Oryctolagus cuniculus: one gene and its partners. The protein of the gene in region 1 purifies or fractionates together with the protein of each later gene. This does not show direct contact. Links are inferred from orthologs where the notes say so. Each region holds a gene or a part of one and is shown in the gene's direction. Other genes may lie near its edges. The genes, in order: RUVBL1, EPC2, NOP58, WDCP, SHQ1, tubulin alpha-1A chain and NOPCHAP1.

Region 1 (4,094 bases):
ACCAGGTCAATAGCATAAAAAACCAAAGCAGCTCTGGTGGAACAAGGAGTGGGTGCTGGGGTATAATGGAGGTAGTGTCCTAAATTCTCAGCCTTCCCCTTCACTACCCATTCTGGCCACAAAACGATTCTATAACTCCAGGGAGTATACTTTGAAAGCCACTGGACCAAGTGGTCCAGGAGCTTCCTCTGAGCCCTAAAAACCTCTGCATCCTCCCCTTCTTTTGGCTGCCAGGAAATCCTTCTCTTTGCTCAGTGCCAAAAGAGAGAAGAGTTTGAGGGCTTAAAATAATAAATGTAAAACCGGTCTTTCCTCCTCACTGGACAACACACACAGGTTGTTGCTACAGAGCACCTCACTTTGATATTCGTTGGTGGAAAGCCTTCCTTCCACACCCTGAAAGGAACAGTTCTTTATGCAACACTTACGACCAGGCCTGTCAATGATACGCTGAGCATCTCTGGGTGTCCTGAGGGGGTGTCTTTAGGGCTGATTAATCACACACTACCACTAACAACTTTAGCCTTCCAAGACCTGGCCCCCGTCCCTCGGGGCTCTGAAGAACGTCAGAAGCTTCCATCCCAGTGGTGCTGAATCCATTATGAAGCCGACAGGAGAGTGATGGTCTTTTCTGAGGTGCTGGGATGGGCTGAGGGTTACACGGGCTCAGTCTCCTCTGGGGTTTCCCGTTCTGCTCATCGCTGTGTGTTCCAGCGCAGGTCACTGGACCTTTTTTCATGAGCCTTTTTATCTGCGTTAGGCATTATACCACCTTACAGGGCTGTGCAACGCTATTCGCAGGCAACTTAAGCAGAGGAGGAGGGTGGAGGAGAGAAGCAGAGAAGCCAGTTCCACGGAGGATTCTGAGCGGAGCAGCGTTGGGAATGGCTGGCTGAGCGGGACCTTCGCAGGCACGTGCAAACGCTTGGGAGTTGGAAAACTTCGGAGTAACCAACCCAAAGTCAAAGCTTAAGCTCGCCTCAGTTCCTGCATGTCCAAACTGAGGCCATAACCTGAGCTCCGCGGAAAGGCGTGACGTTTAAGTATGATAATAGATTAGATGGAACGATTAAAATCCAGATTTGAAGCACCACCTCCAAACTCGCACCGTGACTTACCTTTCTGCCTTCCCGCCACCGGCCGGGGCAGGAAGTGGCGGCTCGGGGGAAATTCAACCCAGTGACACAGCCGGAAGTAAATGGGCGGGGTTCCACCGGCAATCGCGATGGACGCGGCCTTAAACCAATGGGGAACGGAGGCGTTTCCGCTTCCGCCAATAGAGCAAGGACCTGGGCGGGCCCTTGCAAACCGCCGTGGTAACAGCCGCATGGTTACCCGGGCGCCAGGCGCGCAGCTGTAGGTCCTGATTTTCCACGTTGGTTTTGGCTCCCGTCGCCTGCAAAAATGAAAATTGAGGAGGTGAAGAGCACCACGAAGACGCAGCGCATCGCCTCCCACAGCCACGTGAAGGGGCTGGGGCTGGACGAGAGCGGCTTGGCCAAGCAGGCGGCCTCAGGGCTCGTGGGCCAGGAGAACGCGCGAGAGGTGTGGCGGGCGGACCGGGGAGCTGGGGGCTCCGGCAGGGCCGCTGCGGCGCCACAGCCGCTGAAGCGGGGGCCGGGGGTCTGCCCCGCATTTCCGCAGGGCAGGGTGGGGGTGGGAGAAAGGCGACGGGCCGCGGGGAGCAGGGGGCGGTTTGTGCCAGTTCACCGACAGGTGTTGATGGCGCTCCCGGCTGCGTGCCAGGCCTCGGCTGGCGACGCCGGGATGCGGCGGGGAACAGGATAGAAAAGGTCCCTGCTTTCCCGGCGCTTACATTTCCGTGCGGTGAGCTGAGAGGATAAACGTGTGGGCCGATAAAATGACTGTGTCCTGGTAGGGGTCCTCTGTGCAGGGTTTTGTCGGCATGGCAGGGAAACTGTAGGAGTTTGAAAGCTCGCTCTGGTTCCCAGGCCCGGGAGCTGTGAGAGGAGTGATCTGATTGACCCACTCCTGCAAGCATCTTTCTTGGTCGCTCCGGTCCTGATTTTATTAAAGTGACAGGGATGCCAAGTCCATTCCCCTACAATATTGTTTTACCGGCAAAAAAATAAGGATGGGAGAGGCCGCTAGTCCACTTGCCACTGTAGTTTAAAGGGTAAAGCTGGCATTCGCACGTCCATGTGTTTCTGCCGCCCTTTCTCAGCCCCCTGCGCTCCAGGCTAAGAGCCCTGCCCTAGAGGCTAGACAGCTACAAAACCCTGCACTTTATATGAAGTGAAGACATGCCTCTCAGCCCGATGCTGCTCATGGAAAGGGCCAAAGACAAGCCCCTGGTTTCTGTTTTGAGCATCATCTTTCCAGTAGGGAAACGTCTGACCCTGACTCAACAAAGCACCTGTTACTGCAAGCAGCTAGCATGGATTGGGCCAAGCACCATGCTAAGCAGCTGTGTTCCCACTGTCTTGTTATTCACTTGCAGTCTAATAATTTTGCTCCCCCACTCTAGTACTGTATTCCTCAACGTAGGAAATGTTGGCTCGTTCAGTAGATATCTGCCCAAAAATCTACAATTAATATTTTTGCCATTGCTTTGTCACGCATCTATTCATCTATCCAGCTGCCAGTCCACTTTGACATTTCAGAGTAGATGGCAAACATCCATACAGCTCACCCCTAAACCCTTTAGGGCCGATGAGGTTATGTGGGCTAAGGTCCCCGTGCTGGTGGGCGGTAGAGCCAGGAGTTAAACTCAGGTCTGTGTGGCTGCAGAATCCACGCTCCGAACTCTGATGCTGTGTTTCTCAGGCCCACCTTTGCTGCCAGGTTCTTGTATGGGGCTGGTGGTGTCGGCAGCCTCTCTGGCGCTCAGTGTGCTCGTCTGAGAGCCAACATGGACTCTAAGGCCTGTTCGGTTCTTTTTCGATGTCAGGGTTCACCGTGTGTCTCACTGCAGGGAAGCTGGAGGGTAAACTGAAGGAGAATACATGGAAGAGGTTCTGTCTGTAAGAGAGTTACAAGTGCAAAGTTTGGAAAGCCGTCTCCGCCTTATTTTGAGTTTCCCAGGAGCTCCAGTGCTGAGGATCATATGAAGACTATATGGGAGACCACAGCAAGTCTCCATCCTTTTTAGCAATATAGCATCTGAAGAATACCTAATAGGCTCTGTAACGGGCACTCTGCTCATTGAAGCAGCAGTGAATCTAGCACGTGCACACACAGTCCTTGCACACACGTTTTAGGGGCTGCTATAGTGTGTGACTGAGGTACTTCACAGTCCACAAGGAATAGAGAGAGCAAACGCGTTCACAAGATCTTGTCAGTAGGGAACAGTATGACCACTGCCTTCCTTCAGGCAAGGAGAAGGTACCTTTTAGGTTTTGTATCAGTTATTAATTCAAGGGAACAAAGCTTATATTATGTGATCCTGGGATGTGGGTCCTCAGTACTGTGACTTTCTCATCCTTACACCTTTGTGTCAAATATTCTACAGTGTCTGAGGACTGGTAACCCATTTGTGTGTGTGTGTGTGTGTGTGTGTAGAATACACTGACAGGGAATTGAATACTTTAATCTTGGGGATTCAGAAGGCATCGGTGGATCTAGTGGTGCCACAGATTTACCCTCACGTCCAGTGTTGGCTTTGCACAGTTCACTGATGGCCATCTAGGTGCTGGTATCAGGGATTGTTTTTGTTTTATAAGATTTATTGTATTTATTTGAAAGAGTTACAGAGAGAGGTAAAAGAGATCTTCCATCCACTGGTTCACTCCCCAAATGGCCACAACGGCCAGGGCTGAGCTGATCCAAAGCCAGGAGCCAGGAACTTGTTCCGGGTCTTCCACGTGGGTGCAGGGGCCCAAGGACTTGAGCCATCTTCTGCTGTTTTCCGAGGCACATTAGCAGGGAGCAGGACCAGAAGTCGAGCAGCTGGGACTCAAACTGGTACCTATATGAGATGCCAGCACTGCAGGCCGGGGCTTTAATCTGCTGCACCTCGGCACTGGCCCCAGTATCATTGATGCTGAACCTTTAGTGGGTTAGTTGGGAATCTGATGAGAGCTATTAATCTGCCTCTTGGAAAAAATGTGCATAAGGACATATAGATAGAATTT
Region 2 (3,500 bases), on another chromosome or scaffold:
TTTAATTTGTAGAGTGAATACACCTTCCTTGAAGATCCTGAGTCCAGCACCATGAAAACTTCAGTGACTGTGACGTGTACAGTCATGGGTTGTTGGCATAGTAACAGACAGCTTTATACAGAATAAAGGAAGACTGGACATTAAACTTAGCTGTGTTAGCTTTTTCTTGGATAACCAGTCTAAAGCATTTTCAGCCTACTTCACAAGGTTTTTACTCTGATAAAAATGATTAGCCATCTCTGATTTCATTTTACCTGTAGTAGCAAGCCTATCACACATTTTTGAACATTTATTTTATTTATTTGAAAGGCAGAGTGACAGGTAGAAACAAGGAGAAAAAGATTTTTCATCTGCTGGTTCACTCCCCATATGGCTATGATGGTTGAGGCTGTGTAGGCTGAAACCAGAAGCCAGAAACTTCATCCAGTTCTCCCACATGGGTGGAAGGAGCCCAGTTACTCGAGCCATCTTCTGCTGCTTTTCCAGGCACATTAGCAGGGAGCTGGATCAGAAGTGGAACAGCTGGGACTCTATCCAGTGCTCATATGGAATGTCTGCATCACAGGTGGCAGTCTAATGCACTGTACCACAGTACTGGTCCCAAGAAGTGCTTTTAAAAGTGCTTGAGAATAAGCCATTGTTGTGACATAGTGGGTGAGCTGCCACCTGCAGCTCTGGCATCTTATATCTGAGTGCCAGTTTAAATCCAGGATACTGTGCTTCTGATCCAGCTCCTTGCTAAAGTACCTGGGAAAGCAGCAGAAGATGGCCTGAATACTTGTGCCCCTGCCATCCATTTGAGAGACTTGGATGGAGATCCACGTTCTTGGCTTTGGCCTGATCCAGCCCCATCTGTTGTGGCCATTTAGGGAATGAACCAAGAGGTAGAAGATCTGGCTCCCTTTATCTCAGTAACTCTGTCTTCCAAATAAAATCTTTAGGGAAAAAAAAACACTCATTGACATTTATTGGAAAAATTAATAAACCATGAAGGGTTTCAGTTTTTTGATCCCCTAATTCTTAGAAATAATTCTTGCCAGTTTTTAGCTACTTCCTGCTCCATATGCCAAAAATAAGTATTTTTGTAGACTGTAAGTTTTACAGTCTAAACACGTGTACCAGTTAAAGATTAGGCTCTTGGGCTTGCCTCATTCCTTAATATGCTTATGAAATTGCATCTAAAAAAATGAGAATTTAACTTTGTCCATTTTATAGGGCTCAAGCACCTCTGACTGTATGTCTAAAACACTTGACTCAGCCAGCGCCCACTTTGCTGCATCTGCAGTGGTCAGTGCACCTGTTCCAAGTCGCAGTGAGGTGGTCAAGGAACAGAACCCTGGCCACAACAACATAAATGGTGTTGTCCAGCCTTCAGGTATGGCTGCAGTTTTCATGTGTACTAACTCACTTGAAGTTGTAACTCACTGAGTTGTGGTATGGTCTTTGCTCTTTTATATCCTTGGGAAAAATATATCTAAGAAGTAGTCAGTATGCTTCAGAATTTCTTTGGAAAGATAAAGGAGAATGGCTGGGTGTTCTATAGAGTTCATGTGGAACCTGTTCCCTGTTTCTTCTGTGTACATTGAATATCTACCTGTAGAGCATCTTTAACTGTCAGTTACCTCACATCTTAGGAAATCCTTCAGGCTGGTTACTGTTGAATCATCCAAGCATTGATTAAAAAGGTGATATTTAATCCAGGACAGTCTATAATAAGTTTGAAATTTGGTTTACTTTCCCACCCTTACATATTCACATGCATACTTTTGACTCCTTCTATTAAGATCCCGTATTGCTGTCAGCCTCTGTCTGCTTCTTAGATCTCCTGAGTCCTCAATGACTTGCTGTCCCATCATAACTTCAGCTGCCTCTCAGAATCTAGGATTTTCCAGTTGCTTTGATAGGTACCCATGATCCTGAATTTCTTTTCTTACCAGTGTCTATGCATATGTAAATTCTTAAGGAAATTCAGCTGTCATTTTCATCTGTTGTATTATAAGGTCCTCCAAAGTGTAGGCATGGAGGCAGCAAAACCTCTTTGGTAAGCAAACAGAAAGAGGATGGTTTGGGGGTTGTCACAGGTGAATGCATTATACTTAATGGTCACAAACTCTTTGGAGAAACCTGTTTGTAGAAAGTTAACTTGGTATTTAATTATAATATAAATGTTGACAATAACATATATGTAACTCCTAATTTTCCAAAGTTGTATAACTGCCCATTACACTAATTTTTTTTCTCTTTCAGGAACGTCTAAAACATTGTATTCCACCAATATGGCTTTATCATCTAGCCCAGGGATTTCAGCTGTACAACTTGTAAGGACAGTTGGTCACACCACAACAAACCACTTAATCCCAGCGTTGTGCACAAGCAGTCCTCAAACACTTCCCATGAACAATTCCTGCCTGACAAATGCAGTGCACCTCAATAATGTCAGTGTTGTTTCTCCAGTCAATGTGCATATCAATACACGGACTTCAGCACCCTCGCCAACAGCCTTAAAACTCGCCACAGTGGCTGCCAGTATGGACAGAGTGCCAAAGGTTACTCCTAGCAGCGCCATCAGCAGCATAACAAGGTGTGTGTTCATGTGTGTGTGAGTGTGAGAGGTATCATTTTCTCAGGTTGTATGCTGACTTTCCTGTAGGAGGAAGACCTTTTTTACTGCTCAAGTAATAGAGTCTGTTGACAGACTTGCTTTGCAGATGTTAAGGATATTCTTAAATGCCAGCTAGAATCCTTAAAAAAAAAAAATGGCAAATACATCAGAGTATGTTTTAGAAGCTCCAGTTACTCTTCTGTTATTTTTTTTTTTTTTTGGCAGTTTATGCAGTCTGGAAAACTAGATTTGGTATTATTCCATGCTAGAGTTTAGATTTTAAATCAAAATTTATGTGTTCTTCAGCATTACATACAAACAGAAAGAAAATTATTCTAGTAACATATTAAAATTGAGAATATCCCAGAATTAGCTAAATCTATAACAATGAACTTTATAAAGTGTTTTTATATTTCTTTCTGTAACTATTGAAAGGTGAACAGTGAATCACGAACAAGACTAAACTCCACTGAAAATTAATTTAAGTAATATTGTGATCCTAATGATTATTCTCTTTGAGTATTATATGCTCCATCTATTGTAAAACTCTTGGCTTGTCCTATGTGCTAATAGTTAATAAATAATTTATTATTGGATTCACCTGAGATACTATGTTAAATTATAACCTTCCCTGAGTAAATAGTGATAATCAAGTAAGTAATTAGGAATTAGTGGATTTTCTAAGCTGAGGAAAGACTCCTCATTCCTTTCTAGAAAAATGAGAAATGTTCTTCAGAAGTCATGTTTATTTATAGTTACATAAAAATGTTTCTGTAAATATTAAGTGGTAACATCACATTGTAGAGACTATTAATGTTTATTTCACTCTTTGCCTTGTTATAGAGAGAACCATGAACCAGAAAGATTGGGTTTAAATGGAATAGCAGAGACAACAGTA
Region 3 (3,500 bases), on another chromosome or scaffold:
GGCCAAACAGGAGTTTCATCAGGGTCTTCCATGTAGGTGGTAGGGGCCCAAGTATTTGAGCCATCTTCTGCTGCTTTCCCAGTGCATTAGTAGAAAGCTGGTTTGAAAGTGGAGTTGAGGCTTGACCAGCGCTCATATTGGGTGCTGGCTTCATAGGCAACTTAATCCATTGCATCACAGCGCTGGCCCCAAGTTTATTATTTCTAACACTGTCAAACAATAAGATTTTCTGTGATAAGTCTCTACATCCTTTGAAGTGTCCATGAGTGCCATGAGAAGTGCCATGTGTTTCTGTTAAAACCCATACATTTTAGCATTTAGGAAGAAAGCAGACTTTCATATCCTAAGGCCATAAAACATTAATTCCAAATTGATATATATATGTATTATGCTCAAAAGAAAAAGAAGATAGTGTGGTAATCTACTGCTTGAGTGGCTGTGTGCACATGTAGTATAAATCAGACACAAAGTCATTTTGCCAATTGGTCGCATTATGGGTGTTTTTTAAAGTTTTTTCATTTGAGTTTCTCTTTTAAAACCTTATGCTGGGGGCTGGTACTGTGACCATTAAGTTAATTCTCTGGCTCTCATATGGGCACCAGTTCTAGTCCTGGCTACTGCTCTTCCAATCCAGCTCTCTGCTATGGCCTGGGAAAGCAGTAGAAGATTGCCCAAGTCCTTGGGCCCCTGCACCTGCGTGGGAGACCTGCAAGAAACTCCTGGTTCCTGCCTTCGGATTGGCTCATCTCTGGCCATTGCAGGCACTTGGGGAGTGAACCAGTGAATGGAAGACCTTTCTCTGTCTCTCCCTCGCTATCTGTAACTCTTCCTCTTAAATAAGTAAATAAAATCTTTTAAAAAATTGCCTTATGCTGTTTATCATTTGTGTAACAAATTTTTCTGAAATATTTATTATTTTATTCTTATTTATTATTCTTTATTTTATTCTTAAGCAGAGTGCAGTATATAGTTTTTTTTATACATATGATTGTATACATACAGTGAAATAGAACTCTGTAGATTTTAAAGACTTGTATACGGGGCTGGTGTTGTCCAGTGGGTTACACTGCTGCCCACCACACCAGCATCTCATATGGGCATCACTTTGTGTCCTAGTTGCTCCACTCTTTTTTTTTTTTTTTTTTTTTTAAGATTTATTTTATTTATTTGAAAGAGTTACAGAGAGAGGTAGAGACAGAGAGAAAGAGAGGTCTTCCATCCGCTGGTTCACTCCCCAGATAGCCGCAATGGCTGGAGCTGTGCCGATCCGGAGCCAGGAGCTTCTTCCGGGTCTCCTACACGGGTGCAAGGGACCCAAGGACTTGAGCCATCTTCTGCTGCTATCCCAGGTCATAGCAGAGAGCTGGATTGGAAGTGGAGCAGCCGGGACTAGAACTGGTGCCCATATGGGATGCTGGCTCTTCAGGCCGTGGCGTTAACCCACTGTGCCACAGCGCCAGCCCCAGTTGCTTCACTTCTAATTCAGCTCCCTGCTGGTGTGCTTGGGAAGGCAGTGGAAGTTAGATGGGCCAGATACTTGGACTTCTGGACCGCTTTGGGAGACCTGGACAGAATTCCAAACTCCTGGCTTCCACCTGGCTCAGCCCTGGCTGTTGGTGGTCATTTGGGGAATGAATCAGCAGAAGGGAAAATTCTCTGCCTCTCCCTCTCTGTAACTCTGCCTTTCAAATAAATAAATCTTTTTTAAAAAATAAGACTTGTAGATTTATGTATATATTACCATACGTGTATCTGGAAATATTTAAGAGATTCTATATTTGTCTGTAGAGAAAGAGGCTAAGATTCAGAACTTTCTCATTTAGTACCCTCTGAATAGTATTTCCTTTTAAATATGTAATATTTAAAGTATCTATTTTATTAAATATTTATTTGCATCTACTTGAAAGATGGAGGGAAAGAGATTCATCTTCCACCTGCTGGTTCACTCTCCAGATGCCTACACAGCCAGGGCTGAGCCAATTGGAAGTCAGGAATCTGGAACTCCATGCAAGTCTTCCATTTGGTTGATAGGGTCTCAGACCGTAAGCCATTTTCTGCTGCCAGCCAGTATGCATTATTAGGAAGTTAGATTGGAAGTGAAAGAGCTGAGACTGGAACCAACACACCAATATGAGATGTGGGCATCCCAGGTGGAAGCTTGAACCATTGCACCACAACAACCTGCCGCCTTGTATTTTTTATTAAAATGCTGTACTTAACGTAAAGTAGTAAAAGATGCCCTCAAACCAACAAACAAGGACGAAACTATTAAATCAAGTTGCTTTTATCTTTTATAGCTTTTGGTTCATACACTCAAGCTGTCTTTCAGGAAGCTTATATCATAATTGACTTCTACCATAAATGTGTAGAAGGTTTTTTACACAAACCCATTAGAGGCTACACTTGTCAGACTGAGAAATTCATGTTTAATATTTGAGAAATAGATTCAGTAAAGCTTTCTTAAAGACATTTGTTCTTCTTCCTCTAGGAAAAGTTGCATCTCAGCTGTATTCACAGCCCTGTTGTTAATGAGCTTATGAGAGGAATCCGCTCACAGATGGATGGATTAATCCCTGGGGTAGAGCCACGTGAAATGGCAGCTATGTGTCTTGGATTGGCCCACAGGTGAGAATCACTAGAAAATACAGTCAGTTTGTTTTGGTCCAATAAATGTAATAGCATTGGACTAAAAATGGTACAAGGACTAATTAAGTCTTATGAGGAAGATGATGTCCAAGATGGACATAAATGTGGTAGGGTATATTCATACATGCCAAGTTGTGATAGGATGTATACTTTCATTTTTTGAAAAAGATTTATTTACTTATATGAAAGGCAGAGTTACAGAGAGGCAGAGACAGAGAGGTCTTCCATCTGCTGGTTCACTCCCCAGATGACCTCAATGGCCAGAGCTGGGCTGATCTGAAGCCATGAGCCAGGAGCTTCTTCCTGGTTTCCCAAGAGGTATGGGGTCCAAGGACTTGGACCATCATCTACTGTTTTCCCAGGCCATAGCAGAGAGCTGGATTGGAAGTGGAACAGTCGGGACTTGAACCAGCGCCCGTATGGGATGCAGGCACTGCAAGCAGTGGCTTTTCCCGCTATGCCACAGCACCAGTCCCAGGATGTATACTTTCTGATCTTGGCATAATACTTCTTCCTATTTATTTATTTATTTATTTGGCAAGCAGAGTTAGTGAGTGAGAGAGAGAGAAAGGTCTTCCTTCCGTTGGTTCACCCCCAAATGGCTGCTACGGCCGGCGCGCTGCACCGATCCGAAGCCAAGAGCCAGGTGCTTCCTCCTGGTCTACCATTGGGGTGCAAGGCCCAAGCACTTGGACCATCCTCCACTGCACTCCCAGGCCACAGCAGAGAGCTGGACTAGAAGAGGAGCGACCGTGACAGAATCCGGCGCCCCAACCGGGACTAGAATCCGGGGTGCTGTCACGGAAGGCGGAGGATTAGCCAAGTGAGCCGTGGCGCCGGCACTTCTTCCTATT
Region 4 (3,500 bases), on another chromosome or scaffold:
GTGCTTGCATTTCATTGAAATGGACATGTACTACTTTTTTTTTTTTTTTAGATTTATTTTATTTATTTGAAAGGCAGAGTAATAGAGAGAGGGAGAAACAGAGAGAGAGTGAGAAAGATCTTCCATCCCCTGGTTCACTCCTGAAATGGCTGCTGAGGCTGGCCTATGCCAAACACAGGAGCCAGGAAAATCCAGGTCCTCACATGGGTGGCAGGAACCTAATCACTGAGCCATCACTGCTGCCTTCCTGAGCAGGAATCAGGAGTTAGAACCGGGAACTGAACCCAGGTACCCCAACTTGGGACGTAGGCTTCCTAACTGTTAGGATACCTGCCCACCCCGTAATCTTTTAATTTGTGACATTCCTCCTGTCCCTTTATCTCCCACGATATCAACCTGTGAAAAGCCTCAAGTCAATTGTCTTATAAAATATACTATAATGTGTCTTTTCATGGGGTTACTTTCCTTCTTAATTATTTCAGATCGTGTTTATCAGAAATGGTGGAGCTGGGAAAAGGAAAACTGCTCAGGACTGGACTGAATGCACTCCATCAAGCCATTCACCCCACTCACGGCCTTGCCTGGACTGATGGGAATCAGGTGGTCCTGACTGACTGCTGCCTTCACAGTGGGGAGGTCAAGGTCGGGGACTCCAAAGTCATTGGACAATTTGAGCATGTCTGTGGGCTGTGCTGGGCCCCGTGTGGTGCAGCTGATGCGCCCAGTCTGCTGGCTGTCCAGCACAAGAAGCATGTCTCTGTGTGGCAGCTGGGGCCCAGCACAACAGAGAAGAGCAAGGGGCTGATGTCTCAGACGTGTGAGATTAGACAGTCACTGCCCGTTCTGCCCCAGGGCTGTGTGTGGCACCCGAACGGCGCTGTCCTGGCTGTGTTGACTGCACGGGATGTCTCCGTGTTCCCTAACGTTCAGTGGGACAGTTCCCGGGTGAGTGTGAACATCAGCACCCCGGGCCGCATTCACTGTGCTTGTTGGACCCAGGATGGCCAGAGGCTGGTGGTGGCAGTGGGCAGCTGCCTGCATTCTTTTATCTGGGACAGTGCCCAGAAGACTCTGCACAGGTGTTCCTTGTCCCCAGTATTTGACGTGGACAGCTCAGTCCGCTGCATCACAGCCACTGTGGATTCACAGGTTGCAGTAGCCACTGAGCTTCCGCTAGATAAGATTTGCAGCTTAAATGCATCTGAAACCTTTGAGGCCCCACTTAGTGGTGCAAACCCTGGCCTGGATACTTTTCTAGTTGCTGATGACGTACCCTCTGTGGATAAGGGGGCACTTGCTTCTGAAACCGATTCTGAAACATCACCAGTGTCCCCCTCCACAGATCTGCTAGATCTCACTCATATTTCTTTCAGTAGACCCAGGTCTGAGGGGAGTTCTCTGATTTGTCTCAGAAAAAAGGCCTCCTGGACAGGAACTGGCCAGGATTCTTCACATATGGCCCTCGTGGCCTTCGAGAAGACAGTTACCTTGACGGGAAGGGTCCGCGTTCCGGGCATTCTGGTTCCTGATCTGATAGCATGCCATCCCAAAGCACAGGCGGTGGCAGTGGCTTCCAATACTGGGAACACAGTTTTGGTCTATTCTGTCGTGTCCTCTTCAATGCGGAACGTTCAGCACATTCAGTTGGAGAGCAGCGAAAGACCAAAAGGCCTGTGCTTCTTGACAGACAGGTTGTTACTGATTTTGGTAGGAAAGCCGAGCTGCACCGATGTGGCCTTCTTGCCTTCTTCAGAGTCTGCACAGTACGCCATTCGCTTGACTGTGAGGGAAGTCACGGTGGGAGAGCCGTCTTCAGCGACGTCGACTGAAAGCCGGAGCGCCTGTTCTACCTTCAGCGCTCTGTTAGAGAAAGCAGATAGGAAACTGGTCATTGAAAGTCCTTCCCCAAATGTTTGTCCCCAGCGTGGAGGGCTCTTGTTAACAGGGAATACCAGCAGTCGGAGTGGAGGGCCTCGAAAAGCTCTTATTAAAGAAATCAGAAGCCCTCTGTCCAGTACTGGGGATGGCTCCGTAGCCCTGGAAATGCTCCATAGGCCTGCCTGGGCCTGGGCGACAGAGCCGCGACCCAGCAGAGCCCCAGATGGCACCAGCACGCCGGAAACTCCTGAAGTGCCTTCAAAAAAGAACTTGGAACGGGAAAAGGGGACTGAGCAGCTGTGTAAGGAATTGGAATCGCTGTCCAGGAAGCTGACGGAAATGCAGCGCAGTCTTTCTGAGCTCACAGACTTTGTCCAGAACGGGAAGAAGCCCTCGGCTGTGTACCCTCGCTCCCAGGAGCCCCCGTATGTTCACGTGCTATACCAGGTAACTGCCTCAGGGTGCTGCCAGCCAAACAGGCAGATTAAAGTGTCTCTCCCTCCTCCTATGCCTTCCAAATAAATAAAGAAATTACTTCAAATATTCTTTGTTTGAAAGAATGACACAGGGAGAGGCAGAAACAGAGAAGGATCTTCCACCTGTTGGTTCACTCCCTAAATGCCTGCAATAGCAGGGGCTGAGCCAGGTGAACCCAGGAGTCAGGAAGTCTGTCCTGGTCTCCCGTGTGGGTGTTAGGGGCCCATGTACTTGGGTCATTATCTGTGCATTAGCAGGAATCTGGGCAGAGTGGAGGTGAGACGTGATCCAATGTGGGATGCAAATATCTCAGGTGGTGGCCTAACCTACCCACAATACTCGCCCCAATTAATAAAACTTTTTAGAAGTATTAATAGACATTCTTAAAGCATTTCATCTTGCTACAAATTGTATATCTTTGAAATCCTATTTTAACAACAAAATAAGTTACACATGTAAATAAATTATAAGACTCACCTAAATGCTTATGTGAAGATACTGTTTCAAATAATATATAATTAGAAGCAATATTTTTTAAAAAGCTTATTTTTACTTGAAAAGCAGAGAGAAAATTTTGGTTCTCTGGTTCACTCCACAGTGGCCAGGATTGGGCCAGGTGGAAGTCAGGGTCCAGTAACTTCATCAGTGTCTCCCCAGGGGTGGTGGGGACCCAGTTACCTGAGCCTGCCTTGTAGGGTACATTTAGCAGTAAGCTGGAAAATTGGGAGCCAAGCCAGGCACTTCAGTATGGGCTGCCTAAGTGCTGTGTTAAATACCCCAGAAGCAGTAGTTTTTGTTCCATGTTATCTGTTATAAGAGTATACTTGGCCGGTGCTGCGGCTCACTAGGCTAATCCTCCACCTGTGGCACCGGCACACTGGGTTCTAGTCCTAGTCGGGGTGCTGGATTCTGTCCTGGTTGCCCCTCTTTCAGTCCAGCTCTGTGCTATGGCCTGGGAGTGCAGTGGAGGATGGCCCAGGTCCTTGGGCCCTGCACCCGCATGGGAGACCAGGAGAAGCACCTGGCTCCTGGCTTTGGATCAGTGCTATGCGCCGGCCACGGCGGCCACTGGAGGGTGAACCAATGGCAAAAGGAAGACCTTTCTCTCTGTCTCTCTCTCTCACTGTCCACTCTGCCTGTCCAAA
Region 5 (4,138 bases), about 34 Mb from region 1:
AGGGGATACGTAATGCCTGCTGCACAGAGCTGTTGGCTGGGGAAATGAGGTCGTTATGTAAGGCTCGTGGCAGTGCTGGCACATAGTAACTACTCAGTTAGTATTATCTCCTGTTCATATTTTTTTCCTGAGTCTTAAGTGTCAAGATGATTTCCTTAGAATTAAGAGAGATAGAGAGAGAGAGAGAGAGAGAGAGAGAGAGAGAGAGAGAGGTTGAAAAGGCTTTTGAAGTTATCTGGTTACCATCACTGTCCTGGGAGATGACTTTCATCCCTTTCCCACTGATATTTAAAACCAGGGAATAAATAATCCCACTGATATTTAAAACCAGGGAATAAATAATCCTAGTTGGCCCATGCTGGTGACTGATGGGATAACAGGAAATGAAATGAGAGGACAGCAAGCCCAACGGAGGACGTAGAGAGAGAGACTGGTGGGAGAGCAAGAGGAGCACAGGCTAAATGGAGAAAATAGATGGAAGAGTAGTAGGAAAACAGGAGAAAAAAAAGAAAACCAGAAAAGATGACCTCAGATGAGTGTCAGGAGGAAAGCCAGGGAAAGGAAGGGGTTGGGGGATGCAGAGGAATCGCATTAATCAGCGCGGGCCAGCGTTCCGGGTTCTGATCCTAGTGAGATGCGTGCTGACCAGAGGACGCAGTGTAACCTCTCTGAACCCGGTTTTCTCTGGAGTTTGTAGTGCAGCTGAGACGAGATTAGTGCATGGACGCTCTGTGAAAGAGAAAGCGCTATTGCAAGAAGGGGAGGAAAGGAGGGAACTGGAAAATAGGAAGGAGGAGGGAAAGGGGGGAGGGAGGAAGGGACGGTGAGAGCGAGAGAGGAAAGAAATCGTCGACGGGCGGGTGGGAAGCGATGGAGACAAAGCGGATGCGCCCAGGCGCCCAGGCGATCGCTCTACCAGGGCAGCTTGCCAGGCACGCAATCTCTGCGTGATATCCCCGCAGCGTCTCTACGGGGCCAAGACCATCTCTAGATGCTTCAGGTGTAGCATTATTCTCACTGTAGCATAAGGAGGTGTTGTAACTTGGCCGAGCAAGTTACATCTGGGAAGTGGCTGAGATGGGATTCAAGCGCGCACCTGTCTCCTTGCCCAGCCAGCGCTGTTAAAATCATCTCTAAGAAGCTGGATAGCGGTTTGGCGGGTCTAAGACGGATTCTGGCGTTTCTTCCAAGTCTTCCTTCGAGGAAGCTCCAGCGCCCAGGCACCACTCGCCACGCCTCTGGCTCTTCCCGGCTGCTTTGAAAGCTCCACCTCGCCACTACAAGCGTCCCGTCTCCATGGAGATCGACGTGGGGCGGAACTTCCCGCTTCACGCACGCGCACTTCCGCCTTGTGCCGGAAGCACCGTGGCTAACGGAAGGGATCTCCGAGTGTGGGGACTTCTTGGAGAGTTTTGTGCCGCGGGACTGCGGCGGCCGTAGGCGGATGCGATGCTGACCCCCGCGTTCGATCTCAGCCAGGACGCTGACTTCCTGACCGTCGCCATCCGCGTGCCGTACGTCCGAGTCTCCGAGTTCGACGTCTACTTTGAGGGGGTGGACTTCAAGTTCTACGCCAAGCCGTACTTTCTCAGGTGAGTTCCGGGGGTCAACGTGGGACGAGCGTATTGGGGGCATTCGTGAGCTAAGCGCCTGTGGAGAGGGGTGAGAGAGCAGGGAAGCAGTTCCCGGAATCTTTCCCCGAGACTTGCCCGTCTCCTTTTGGGGCCAAGGAAGTGACCTGCTGGAGGTGTGCGCTCCAGGTGCTTAGAAGCCCGTTCCCTTCTCCAGCCTTGTTGATCCCCCCGTGAGCGCAATCTCGAAAGCCCTTTGCAGCGTGGCCTTTGGGCCGGGGACGTTTCCAGCTTCTGTGAAGTTGCCCTCCCAGACTTGCTCTGCCCCCTCCTTGCGCTTCGCCTTCGCTCTCCCCCTTCCCCGGCGGCGCGCGCGTGCTCGCTCGCATCTTTTCGATGACTTCCCAACCTTTTGGTCCTTTTGTTTTCTCCCAGCCCGCCTTCTGTGTACCGACCTTTATCTTGGCTGCCCGCTCCCTGCTTTCTCAAATTCTCACCTTAGCCGGCTCTGAGTCCGCGCTAGCCTCGTTCTCCTGCCTCCCCCGCTGCCCGCCTCCGCAGTCCTGCGTTTTGCCGGTTCGTTGCGGTAATTTCCTTCGGGTCTCTTTGAGCAGCCCTCAGCTTGTGTCACTTTAGATTTCTCTTCTCGCAGCGCCGTAACGACAGCGGCAGCAGCTCGAGCTGATGCCGTTCCGTGTGGTGGGCAAGCAGTGCCTTCGCTTGTGTTAACGTTGACAGCGATCCTTGGGGGTGGACACTGTGGTTCTCCCCATTCTGTAACGGACGCTGCCAGAGGCTCTAAAATGCTACAGCGTGGCGATCCCCTGGGCTCCCCTTTTCTTTTTCCAGTCTTAAGTGTGGCTCCCCTGTGCCTTCCCTGCCTAAGTACTTCTGTATTTTGTAACACAAACCTCCCTCTCCAGGCGAACTAGTTTCTTCACTGCCTAAACCAGTTCTGCTCAAGTTTCCGTTAGATCTCGATTTAATCTCTGTGCCACTGGACGCCTGAACTGTGGAGAGTACCAGACTCTATATAGTTTTTTTTCCTGTACATACAGATCCATGGTAAAGTTTAATTGGTAAGTTAGGCATGGTCAGAGATTAACAAGAAACAACCAATAATGAAATACAGCACTGTGCTTTCTGATTTCTTTATTCATGTAGTTTATTTATTGGGCTTCCGTGCTGGGATTATAGTGCTGAACAAGATGAACTCCTTCCCTCCTGTAGTGTTTTTTTTTTTTCTTTTTTTACAGGTAGAGTTATAGACGTTGAGAGAGAGAGAGAGAGAGAGAGGTCTTCCTTCCTTTGGTTCACTCCCCAAATGGCTGCTATGGCCGGCGCTGTGCCGATCTGAAACCAGGAGCCAGGTGCCCCTTCCTGGTCTCCCACGCAGGTGCAAGGGTCCAAGCACTTGGGCCGTCCTCCACTGCCCTCCCGGGCCACAGCAGAGAGCTGGACTGGAAGAGGAGCAACCAGGACTAGAACCCGGCACCCACATGGGATGCTGGTGCTGCTGGCAGAGGATTAACCTACTGCGCCATCCCCCCCCACCCCCAGGTTAAACGTTTACATTGCAGTTGGGGATGGGAGAGAAAAAGGGTGGACAAATGATGCTTCTACAAATCGTGAGTGCTATGAAGGGAAGGAACTGTGCTCACGAGGCATCAAAAGAGGCCCAGGTTTATTTAAAGTGGTCGGAGAAAGTCTCCCTGAGGGTGGCAAGACGAAGAACAGGAAGATGGTGGTGGTGCTAGTAGCACGCATTTACTGAAGTGTTACTGTAGGTTAAGTGTTCCATGTGGGTTAGCGCATTTGATTTAGGAGAGCCCCACAGAGCAGGTTTTATTGCTCACCCATTGCTGTGGACTGCATAGTTGTGTCCCTCCAACATTGAAAGGTAGAAGCCCCTATTCCCAATATGATGGTATTTCAGTTTAGATGAATGAAGGCAAGAGTCCCCATTGATGGGGTTAGTGCCCTTGTAAGAAGAGGGAGAGTCCAGGGCCCCTGTCCACCAGGTCAGGATACAGCAAGGAGGTGGTCAGCTGCAAGCCAGGAGGGGTGCCCTCCCCAGGCACTGAACAGGTTGGCAACTTGATCTTCAACTTTCCAGGCTCCAGAAGCATTGAGAAGTCAATTTCAGTTGTTTAAGCCACCCAGCCTGTGGTGTTTCTGTTAGAGCAGCCCAAAGTGACTAAGACTCCTTTGTCACAAAGGAGAGGTCAGAGGCCCAGTTGTTCTTAAGTGTAGACCTTGTTGTCATATACACTAATAAAAATATAAAACGCAATAGGATTGGGAAATAAGCCAATCAGCCCAGTCAAGTAAAAGTGTTAAAGTGAAAACCCCTTTGAAGCCTGTGAGATGATAAGGGCAGAATAAGAGGATACAAGCAAAACAGTGGAAAAGCTTTCTTCCCGCAGATCTGTCCACGCTTCAGGTAGTTGAAGCTTGGGAGTGAGCACTCAGCATGCGTACAGTTCTGTGGCCTCACACAGGTTTCTGGTTGAGTCTGGTAGTCTGTAGCGGGGGACCCATATTAATGATCTTAAGGAGTTGTGTGA
Region 6 (4,061 bases), on another chromosome or scaffold:
CTGGGCTCCACAGGGCGCTGTAGTAATGCAGCCCCCGAAAATCAGTTGCTGGAAATTGAAAGGAAAAACAGAAATTTCTATTTTTGATAGTCAAACAAATCTCTTTACCTCTGAAATGTCATCCACAATGGCAAGAGGTGCACAGCCCGGAGACCTATTTTGCATAGCCCATCCTTGATGAGAATGGAGCCGTTCCGAGCAGCAAACCATTTCCTAGGGGGGAAAGCAAAGCCTTTTTTGTCCCCAAGAGGCCTCTGGGCAGCCACCAGTCTCCAGCTGAATAGCAGCGGTGTGAGGCCGGCTAAGGTTCCCACAGTTAGGAGGGTGTGGACCCCATTCTTATAAGCACTATATAAAAATGGACTGCGGTTGAACTGAGACTGCAGAGTTGCCTGCAGATGGAGGCAACAATACAAAGTGGTCCTCTTTTTGCATCCTACATCTTTCTTGTCTTCTTTTTAATTTAGTGTTTTGGTTACTCTTTTTTGTTTGTAACTTTCCCAAAAGGCGAGCAATGCAGAAATATAATTGCACACACAAGGGATACCGGTTTCTGCAGTCAATTCTTTCTCCTTGTGTTTTCCCAATTCTGTATTGGGAACGATGATTCATTTCTACATCTCACAAAATATATTACAGAGTCTTTTGGCAAATGAGTATCTCTCATCAGCTAACCCTCATGTGTCCATTAGCTCTCACCGACTGCAATGCTAGAACCTTTTGTGTTCTTTTATGCGGTATGGCTATGCCTCCCATCACCCATTTTGTTGAGCTATTTGGGTGTCTGTGCCCAAAAGAAGATATGAAAATACATTAATTGAACCTGCAGAGCCTTTTTTTTTTTTTTTTGGATGACTGTATTACCGGGTCCTTTTCTAATTAAAATAAGAGAGAAAGGGAAAGCATATTTACTCAAACCATTTTGAGTATCGCTCCCGTCTTTCCCACTTTATTTTTAAAGCAATTCGAGATGCTGGTTCGTAACCAAATGTAGCTTAGTGTACTGTCAGGGGGCGATTCTTCACGAAGATTCCATCTCAACACAAATGCTACGATTGAAACCGTACCTAGGTGATTTTAGCTGCAGGTTGAGACTGAAGCGATAGAAAATGATCTAGCCGCAGTCCTCTTTCTTCCCTTCCGCCCCTCCCGAGAGCCCCACCCCGTAATGGATGCTGGGCTGCCGGCTTTGGCTCGGTCTCTTTGTCTGAAGGATGCAGTCTATGGATACTGGGGGAAAACGGGTGGGGGAGCGATTACCTCATCCCATGTCGCCTGCACCAATCAGCACTCTTCTGCCGCGGCTTCTCCGGGCAGAGAGAGGGGTCTGGACCAACAGGAAGAGGCCCCGGCCCATCCCCATGGCGACCGGGCTGTATATAGGCGGCCGCCACCGCCCGAGCCGCAGGTTCTCTTACATCGACCGCCTAAGAGTCGCGCTGTAAGAAGCAGCAGCCTCCCTCTCGGCCTCCGCGCGCAGCAGCAACCATGGTAAGCGCCGGCCCCCCAGGCGGCCCGGGGAGCCCTTTGTAGCCTTTTTTGTCCAGGGTGGCTTTGTTTGCTTTCGGTCCCTACGCCCTGCCGCTGCCGCAGTGCGGAGCCAGGGCCCGGCCGGGACGAACAAAGGCGACGCCAGGGAGTGTTTGTCGCCGAGGACTCCCCGGGGCCGCAGCTGCCCCTCCGGCGGGGCGGGAGGGTCCGCAGCCGGGCGGGGCGTGCGCTCCGCGCTCGTGGGGCTCCCCGGGGACCTGCAGCCCGGGGGCGCTGGGTGTAGCTGGGCGCGGAGAGGAGGACGGGAACCGAGGGAAGCCTCGGGTTGGCGCAAGACCCTTGCGTTCTAGAGAGACAGCCGTCTACTAGCGGCTGGGGCCGGGGCGGCGCAGGGGCGGGGTTGTTTGTTTCTGGCTTCCCCGGTGTTGGAGCCGCCGGACCGGGTTCGCCCTCGCTCAGCCTCCGCGGTCACGGGGAAGCCTTGAATAAAAGCCTTGCATCACCGCGGAACTGAAGACTTCAAAAGGGTTTTCATTACCTGCTAAAGCTCAGATGAAAAAAAATTGTTTTCTCGAGGCCCAGAATCCCAATTCACAAGCCCTTTAAAGTCTGGTCCAGCGTGGCCACGCCCTTGAGGGCTGCGGGGCCGGGCTGTGGGGGGGCGCAGGGTCCGCCCTGGGTGCCTGCTGGGCTGCGGTCGGGAACGCCTGCCCCGCCCCCGCCCCAGGGAGCAGACAATGAAAATTGCAGCCCTAAAAGTGACAATCTCTGTGGGATGAGGAGTAAGAATTTTATGTGGTGGGTAAAGAATTTCAGAAAGAAAACACTTTTTTGTTGCTTTAAATACATATTTCACTGTCCTTTCACTGGGCTTTTGTTCTTTGCTAGCTTCTCATATAACATTTCTTCCTAACTCGCAAACTGTTGTTTCAAAAATACTAACAATTTTTCAGTTTTTTACAGTGGAGGCGATTCTGTAAAAACTTAAAGTAACACAATTGCTGCAGACAAAGAATTACATTCTGCTCTCCAGCCGTCTTTTGTTCTAGGGTGTCTTCATTAATTCATTTCGATTCAGGAGCATGGTCCCAGGCTGGGTCAGGGGAAGAACTAGCAAAACAGCACAATGAGATCATATAGGCAGTTGCTGGAAATAGAGCTTGCTCTGTTAAATAATGTAGCAGACAGTACAGGCTAGCGCCAGGCACAGCAAATAACGGCAGTGCAGCAATGCAGAGGCAGACTTTTGTCTAGCTTCTAATAACTCCTAGTATTGATGGATCCTGCAGGCAGACTGCAGAAGGGTGTGGCTTGCAGCTGCAGTACAGATGCCTCTTGGAATCCTAAGTCCTCTGCAGAAGAAACTAATCTCCAGTTAAAGGGGGAAAAAAGCAGTAAAATGAATTCCAATCCATGATTGGATTGAATTTAATTTACTTCATTTTACAAAATCTGTGCTTTGAAGCCATAAAAAAATCTTCCATTCAAGCATGGCTCTGTGAACAATGGGCTTGCACCATGTGCTAAACTGTGCCAAGGCGACATTATTATTCAGACCACACCCATCTGCAGTATTTGTAGCAGGTGCTTTTCTTTCATCGTTTCTATCATATTAGGGATAAAACTGCAAATAAATTTGAGGAAGATCTAATTACTAGAAATACTTTTAGAAATTTGCTGAAAATTCAAAATGCTAATACAAAATAATTTATATATATTTTTCTCTTTCCCTCACACAGCGTGAGTGCATCTCCATCCACGTCGGCCAGGCTGGTGTCCAGATCGGCAATGCCTGCTGGGAGCTCTACTGCCTGGAACACGGCATCCAGCCCGATGGCCAGATGCCAAGTGACAAGACCATTGGGGGAGGAGACGACTCCTTCAACACCTTCTTCAGTGAGACGGGCGCTGGCAAGCACGTGCCCAGGGCCGTGTTTGTAGACCTGGAGCCTACGGTCATTGGTGAGTTGGCCTCCGTGGCCTCAGTGAGAGCCCCGGGTGCTGGGACAGGTCTGGGACAATTCTGTGAGGGGGGAGCCACTGGCACCCCGGGGCCCTGCAGGCTGTCAGTGACAGGTGGCTGGTCTGCTTCCCTCTTCCAGATGAAGTTCGCACCGGCACCTACCGCCAGCTCTTCCACCCCGAGCAGCTCATCACAGGCAAGGAAGATGCTGCCAATAACTATGCCCGCGGGCACTACACCATTGGCAAGGAGATCATTGACCTCGTCCTGGACCGAATTCGCAAGCTGGTATGTTTCCTCTCAACAATAAAGTACATTAGTAAGTTAAGGGATGCTGTTTGGTTGAAACAGAATTGAAATTGAAAAAAGGTTTTTAAAAATTCAATTAAAACATGAACTATCTGATATCATTTTGTAAATACTGAGAATTTTTAAATGAAGAAATGTTGAGTAATTCCAAGGTCTTCGCTTTTTAAAAAGCATTTGTTAAAGTAAGATCTAAATTCTTAGAGATGTACGAAAAGTGAGACTATTTACTATGATTGTATCACAGACAACAAAGACTTAATCTTTTCTATTCCTCTCTTTTAAACAGGCTGACCAGTGC
Region 7 (3,500 bases), on another chromosome or scaffold:
TGCATTAGCAGGAAACTGGATTGAAAACAGAGGAACTGGGACTTGAACCAGTGCTCTGATACGGATGCAATGTTAAAAGCAGCAGCTTAACCTCCTGTGTCACAACCCCTGCCCCTATTTGGGTGTAAACTTTTTTGAAATCCATACGTACACAGGGTCTTCAAAAAGTTAATGGAAAATGCATATTATAAAAAAAACTATGGCCGGCGCCGCGGCTCACTAGGCTAATCCTCCGCCTAGCGGCGCCGGCACACCGGGTTCTAGTCCCGGTCGGGGCGCTGGATTCTGTCCCGGTTGCCCCTCTTCCAGGCCAGCTCTCTGCTGTGGCCAGGGAGTGCAGTGGAGGATGGCCCAGCTGCTTGGGCCCTGCACTCCATGGGAGACCAGGAAAAGCACCTGGCTCCTGGCTCCTGGCTCCTGCCATCGGATCAGCGCGGTGCGCCGGCCTCAGTGCGCCGGCCGGGGCGGCCATTGGAGGGTGAACCAACGGCAAAGGAAGACCTTTCTCTCTGTCTCTCTCTCTCACTGTCCACTCTGCCTGTCAAAAAAAATAAATAAATAAAAATAAATAAATAAATAAATAAATAAAAAATAAAAAAAATAAAATAAAAACTATGCATGGATTTCATTTTTTTGCACCAAAATAAACTTCTCTTTTAATTCTATTTTCCACAAACTTTTGAAGTACCCTCATGATGTATTTGCTCCTTGTCTGTCTCTCTCCTGCAGATCAGGGGCCAGCAGACATTTGGTGTGCGAGGTCGGGTGTGGGCTGTCTCTGTTGTGGCTACTCAGCCCTGCTGCTGAGACGTGCGTGCAGCCGTCCATGCTACATGAGTGAATACGCACAGCTTGGGGAGTTTGAAATTTGAATTTGATGAGCTTTCATGTTTCACAAAATAGTATTCCTATCCCCCTCTCCCCCACTTAAAAATAAAAGCCATTGTTAGCTTAGGACCTGAACAAAAGCAGGCAGGGGGCGGAATTTGGCCTGCAGGTTGGAATTTGCTGGTCCTTGTCCAGAAACATATTTCACGACAGGAAGGGACCTGTTTTAATTTTGTTGTTGAGTCCTGAGCACTTAGCGTGGTGCCTGACTCCCATTCGCATTGGTTGGATGAATGTTGTTGAATATTTGAATGTGTTCAGGAGATATCAAGTCATGCTGTGGGAGACTGGTTTTTAGACTTGCAGTGAGTGCTAGTTGTCACAGACCCTGGCAGGAAAAGCACGGAATCGAGGCGTTGAATTAAAAACCTTCCTGGCCCTGGAGCCAGCATTGTGGCGCAGTGGGTTCTGCGGCCGCTCTGACGCTGGCATCCCATATCAGGGTGCCACTTCTGGCCCCGCTTCCTGTGTCTGCTCCTGGGAAGCACCCAGTGATGGCCCAGGTATTTGAGTCCCCGCCGCTCACACTAGACACCCAGATGGAGTGTCTGGCTCCCAGCTTCAGCCTGACTCAGCCGCAGCTGTTGAGGCCATTTCGGGAGTGAATCAGCAGATGGAAGGTTTATCTCCCTCTGTCACTTTGCCTTTCAATTAAATTTCTAAAAATAGTGTGTTGGGGCCAGCATTGTGGCATGGCAGGTTAAGCCTTCCCTTGGACATTGGCATCCTGTATGGGCACTAGTTTGTGTCCTGGCTGCTCCATTTCCAATCCAGCTCCTTGCTAATGGCCAGGGAAAAGTAGCAGAAAACAGCCTACATGTTTGGGCTTCCACCATCCATGTAGGAGACCTGGGTGAAGCTCCTGACTTGGGCCTGGCCCAGCCCTGTTCGTTGTGGCCATCTGGGGAATAAAGCAGCGGATGGAAGATCTTTCTCTGTTTCTCCTTCTTTCTCTAACCTTGACTTTCAAATAAATAAACAAATGCTAGGAAAAAAAAAGCATCTTGCTCCTCACACATTAATATTTATGCTGAATGTTGATTCTCCCAGTGTTGTTTTGTGACAGCTTTTTAGGGAACTTCCCTGACACGGCTTCTCTCCTGGCACTTTTTGCAGGATGTGGCCTTGTTTGAGATGAATCCGTTGGATTCGAAGGAAGAGGACCGTTCAGAAGCGAGTTCGGGAGACAGTTCCGGGGAGAGTTCCTCCTCCGAGGACGAGGGTGACAGCGGGCCTCGTGAAGTCACTGAAGATAACATTAAGCTTCCTAATTCGGAAGGTGGAAAAGGCAAGATTGAAGTTTTGGACAGTCCAGCAAGTAAAAAAAAGAAATAATGAAATAAATGATGGGAAAAGACACAGGTGATAGAAGCCTGCGACATCTGTGAACGAGAACGTGGGTCGCCGGCTGGTTGGGATTCCAGGTATCTACAGTGCTTGTGCGTTTTATTCATGTGGACAGAGTTTGCGCCAAGAACAGTTCGTGGGCAGAGAACTCCTTTCTGCAGCGTGGCCCGCGGCCCAGGGAAGTGAAGTGCAGGCGTAACGTGATTGGTTAGCCCAAGGTTCTTGCCTTATTTGGTTATGATGTCATCAGTTGGCTGCCTGTGATTGGCCAGAGCTCAGCTGTTTGTCTGAAACCCAGCTCTTAGAAGAATGTAGTTCTGAAGTAGGTGTAGGTGCTGAAGTAGTTGTGGTGTGTCACATAGGGTCTCAAAGAACGGGGCGGCCTCAGGCTGATGGCCTGCTGCGTATTTGATGTCACACACGTAATACCAAGTATATTTTGCTTCTCAGAGAACTCAAAGCTGACTCTGCAAGAGTTGAAATATAATAGCATTTGGGTTTCTTCCAGTGGTAAGCTGATTGTTGATCCTGTGCTAAAGAGACACTGTGTTTAGAAAGCTTAACTGTGTGTGCTGACAAGTGCATCTGTTGGCCTCTTTGTTCTTCAGCATGGAGTTCAGAAATACCAAAGTTATTTTAAGGTAAAAAAACAAATCACCAGTTTGTTTTTGTTTGAAATTATCCTTTTGGATAAAAGAACCTAGTTTTTTTAAGGTTATTATAAAGTCTAATTTATTTGTCACTATCAAAATGAGTTTAATGAGAAGTTTTTTTAAGAGGAAAAATGTTTTCACAAATAAAAGAATGACTTATATTTAGCCATCCTCAGACATATCTATCTTCCTTTCAAAAAAACATTCCTTTCTTGTTTGAGCAGGAAAACTGACTCTCTGTGGTGTCATCACAGCGGGCGACACAATGCTCGGAGAGTTTACTGGTGGGGAAAAGTAGCTTTCTGTGTTTGCTTTCCATAAAATAAAGCTCTTTGGCTCAGCTATTAAAACTGTTCCACCCAGTTGCCCACAGTGTGGCAGCTCTTGATAGAGAAAATAGAGACCCCACAGGGAGGGCAGAAGGCACAGTACAGGGAAAGGCAGCTGCTGCTTCCCCCCCCAGCAGTCACAGTGGTCCTGGGCCAGCACGGTCTGTCTTCCTCCCGACTGATCTTATTAAAGTTGAGATCTCAGCTGCCGTGGGCCTGACTTCTACCCAGGAAAGAGACCTGAGAATTTCCAGCCGGTCTCTGATTCCGCAGAGCTGGAGGA

The links.
Region 2: the proteins of RUVBL1 (region 1) and EPC2 purify together in Homo sapiens (co-immunoprecipitation; 3 studies listed by BioGRID and IntAct, counting the BioPlex papers as one, with this or other methods). This does not show direct contact. The link is inferred for Oryctolagus cuniculus from reciprocal best matches to the Homo sapiens genes RUVBL1 and EPC2.
Region 3: the proteins of RUVBL1 (region 1) and NOP58 purify together in Homo sapiens (affinity purification with mass spectrometry; 4 studies listed by BioGRID and IntAct, with this or other methods). This does not show direct contact. The link is inferred for Oryctolagus cuniculus from reciprocal best matches to the Homo sapiens genes RUVBL1 and NOP58.
Region 4: the proteins of RUVBL1 (region 1) and WDCP purify together in Homo sapiens (affinity purification with mass spectrometry; 6 studies listed by BioGRID and IntAct, counting the BioPlex papers as one, with this or other methods). This does not show direct contact. The link is inferred for Oryctolagus cuniculus from reciprocal best matches to the Homo sapiens genes RUVBL1 and WDCP.
Region 5: the proteins of RUVBL1 (region 1) and SHQ1 purify together in Homo sapiens (affinity purification with mass spectrometry; 3 studies listed by BioGRID and IntAct, counting the BioPlex papers as one, with this or other methods). This does not show direct contact. The link is inferred for Oryctolagus cuniculus from reciprocal best matches to the Homo sapiens genes RUVBL1 and SHQ1.
Region 6: the proteins of RUVBL1 (region 1) and tubulin alpha-1A chain purify together in Homo sapiens (affinity purification with western blotting; 3 studies listed by BioGRID and IntAct, with this or other methods). This does not show direct contact. The link is inferred for Oryctolagus cuniculus from reciprocal best matches to the Homo sapiens genes RUVBL1 and TUBA1A.
Region 7: the proteins of RUVBL1 (region 1) and NOPCHAP1 purify together in Homo sapiens (affinity purification with mass spectrometry; 4 studies listed by BioGRID and IntAct, counting the BioPlex papers as one, with this or other methods). This does not show direct contact. The link is inferred for Oryctolagus cuniculus from reciprocal best matches to the Homo sapiens genes RUVBL1 and NOPCHAP1.

The regions. Positions count from the first base shown.
Region 1 is NC_091441.1:110,808,894-110,812,987, reverse strand, and holds the start of RUVBL1 (ruvB-like 1), read left to right. Parts: upstream 1-1,294; 5' UTR 1,295-1,404; coding exon 1,405-1,545; intron 1,546-4,094. UniProt on the Homo sapiens protein: Possesses single-stranded DNA-stimulated ATPase and ATP-dependent DNA helicase (3' to 5') activity; hexamerization is thought to be critical for ATP hydrolysis and adjacent subunits in the ring-like structure contribute to the ATPase activity.
Region 2 is NC_091434.1:93,440,765-93,444,264, reverse strand, and holds part of EPC2 (enhancer of polycomb homolog 2), read left to right. Parts: intron 1-1,215; coding exon 1,216-1,375; intron 1,376-2,247; coding exon 2,248-2,581; intron 2,582-3,445; coding exon 3,446-3,500. UniProt on the Homo sapiens protein: May play a role in transcription or DNA repair.
Region 3 is NC_091434.1:37,693,962-37,697,461, reverse strand, and holds part of NOP58 (nucleolar protein 58), read left to right. Parts: intron 1-2,488; coding exon 2,489-2,625; intron 2,626-3,500. UniProt on the Homo sapiens protein: Required for the biogenesis of box C/D snoRNAs such as U3, U8 and U14 snoRNAs. Part of the small subunit (SSU) processome, first precursor of the small eukaryotic ribosomal subunit.
Region 4 is NC_091433.1:178,527,917-178,531,416, forward strand, and holds part of WDCP (WD repeat and coiled-coil-containing protein), read left to right. Parts: intron 1-482; coding exon 483-2,325; intron 2,326-3,500.
Region 5 is NC_091441.1:76,401,989-76,406,126, forward strand, and holds the start of SHQ1 (protein SHQ1 homolog), read left to right. Parts: upstream 1-1,338; 5' UTR 1,339-1,449; coding exon 1,450-1,592; exon of another isoform or gene 1,593-1,650; intron 1,651-2,068; exon of another isoform or gene 2,069-2,583; intron 2,584-4,138. UniProt on the Homo sapiens protein: Required for the quantitative accumulation of H/ACA ribonucleoproteins (RNPs), including telomerase, probably through the stabilization of DKC1, from the time of its synthesis until its association with NOP10, NHP2, and NAF1 at the nascent H/ACA RNA.
Region 6 is NC_091442.1:52,629,035-52,633,095, reverse strand, and holds the start of tubulin alpha-1A chain, read left to right. Parts: upstream 1-1,261; 5' UTR 1,262-1,488; coding exon 1,489-1,491; intron 1,492-2,029; exon of another isoform or gene 2,030-2,136; intron 2,137-3,230; coding exon 3,231-3,453; intron 3,454-3,593; coding exon 3,594-3,742; intron 3,743-4,049; coding exon 4,050-4,061. UniProt on the Homo sapiens protein: Tubulin is the major constituent of microtubules, a cylinder consisting of laterally associated linear protofilaments composed of alpha- and beta-tubulin heterodimers.
Region 7 is NC_091442.1:107,702,428-107,705,927, forward strand, and holds part of NOPCHAP1 (NOP protein chaperone 1), read left to right. Parts: intron 1-2,004; coding exon 2,005-2,223; 3' UTR 2,224-3,500. UniProt on the Homo sapiens protein: Client-loading PAQosome/R2TP complex cofactor that selects NOP58 to promote box C/D small nucleolar ribonucleoprotein (snoRNP) assembly. Acts as a bridge between NOP58 and the R2TP complex via RUVBL1:RUVBL2.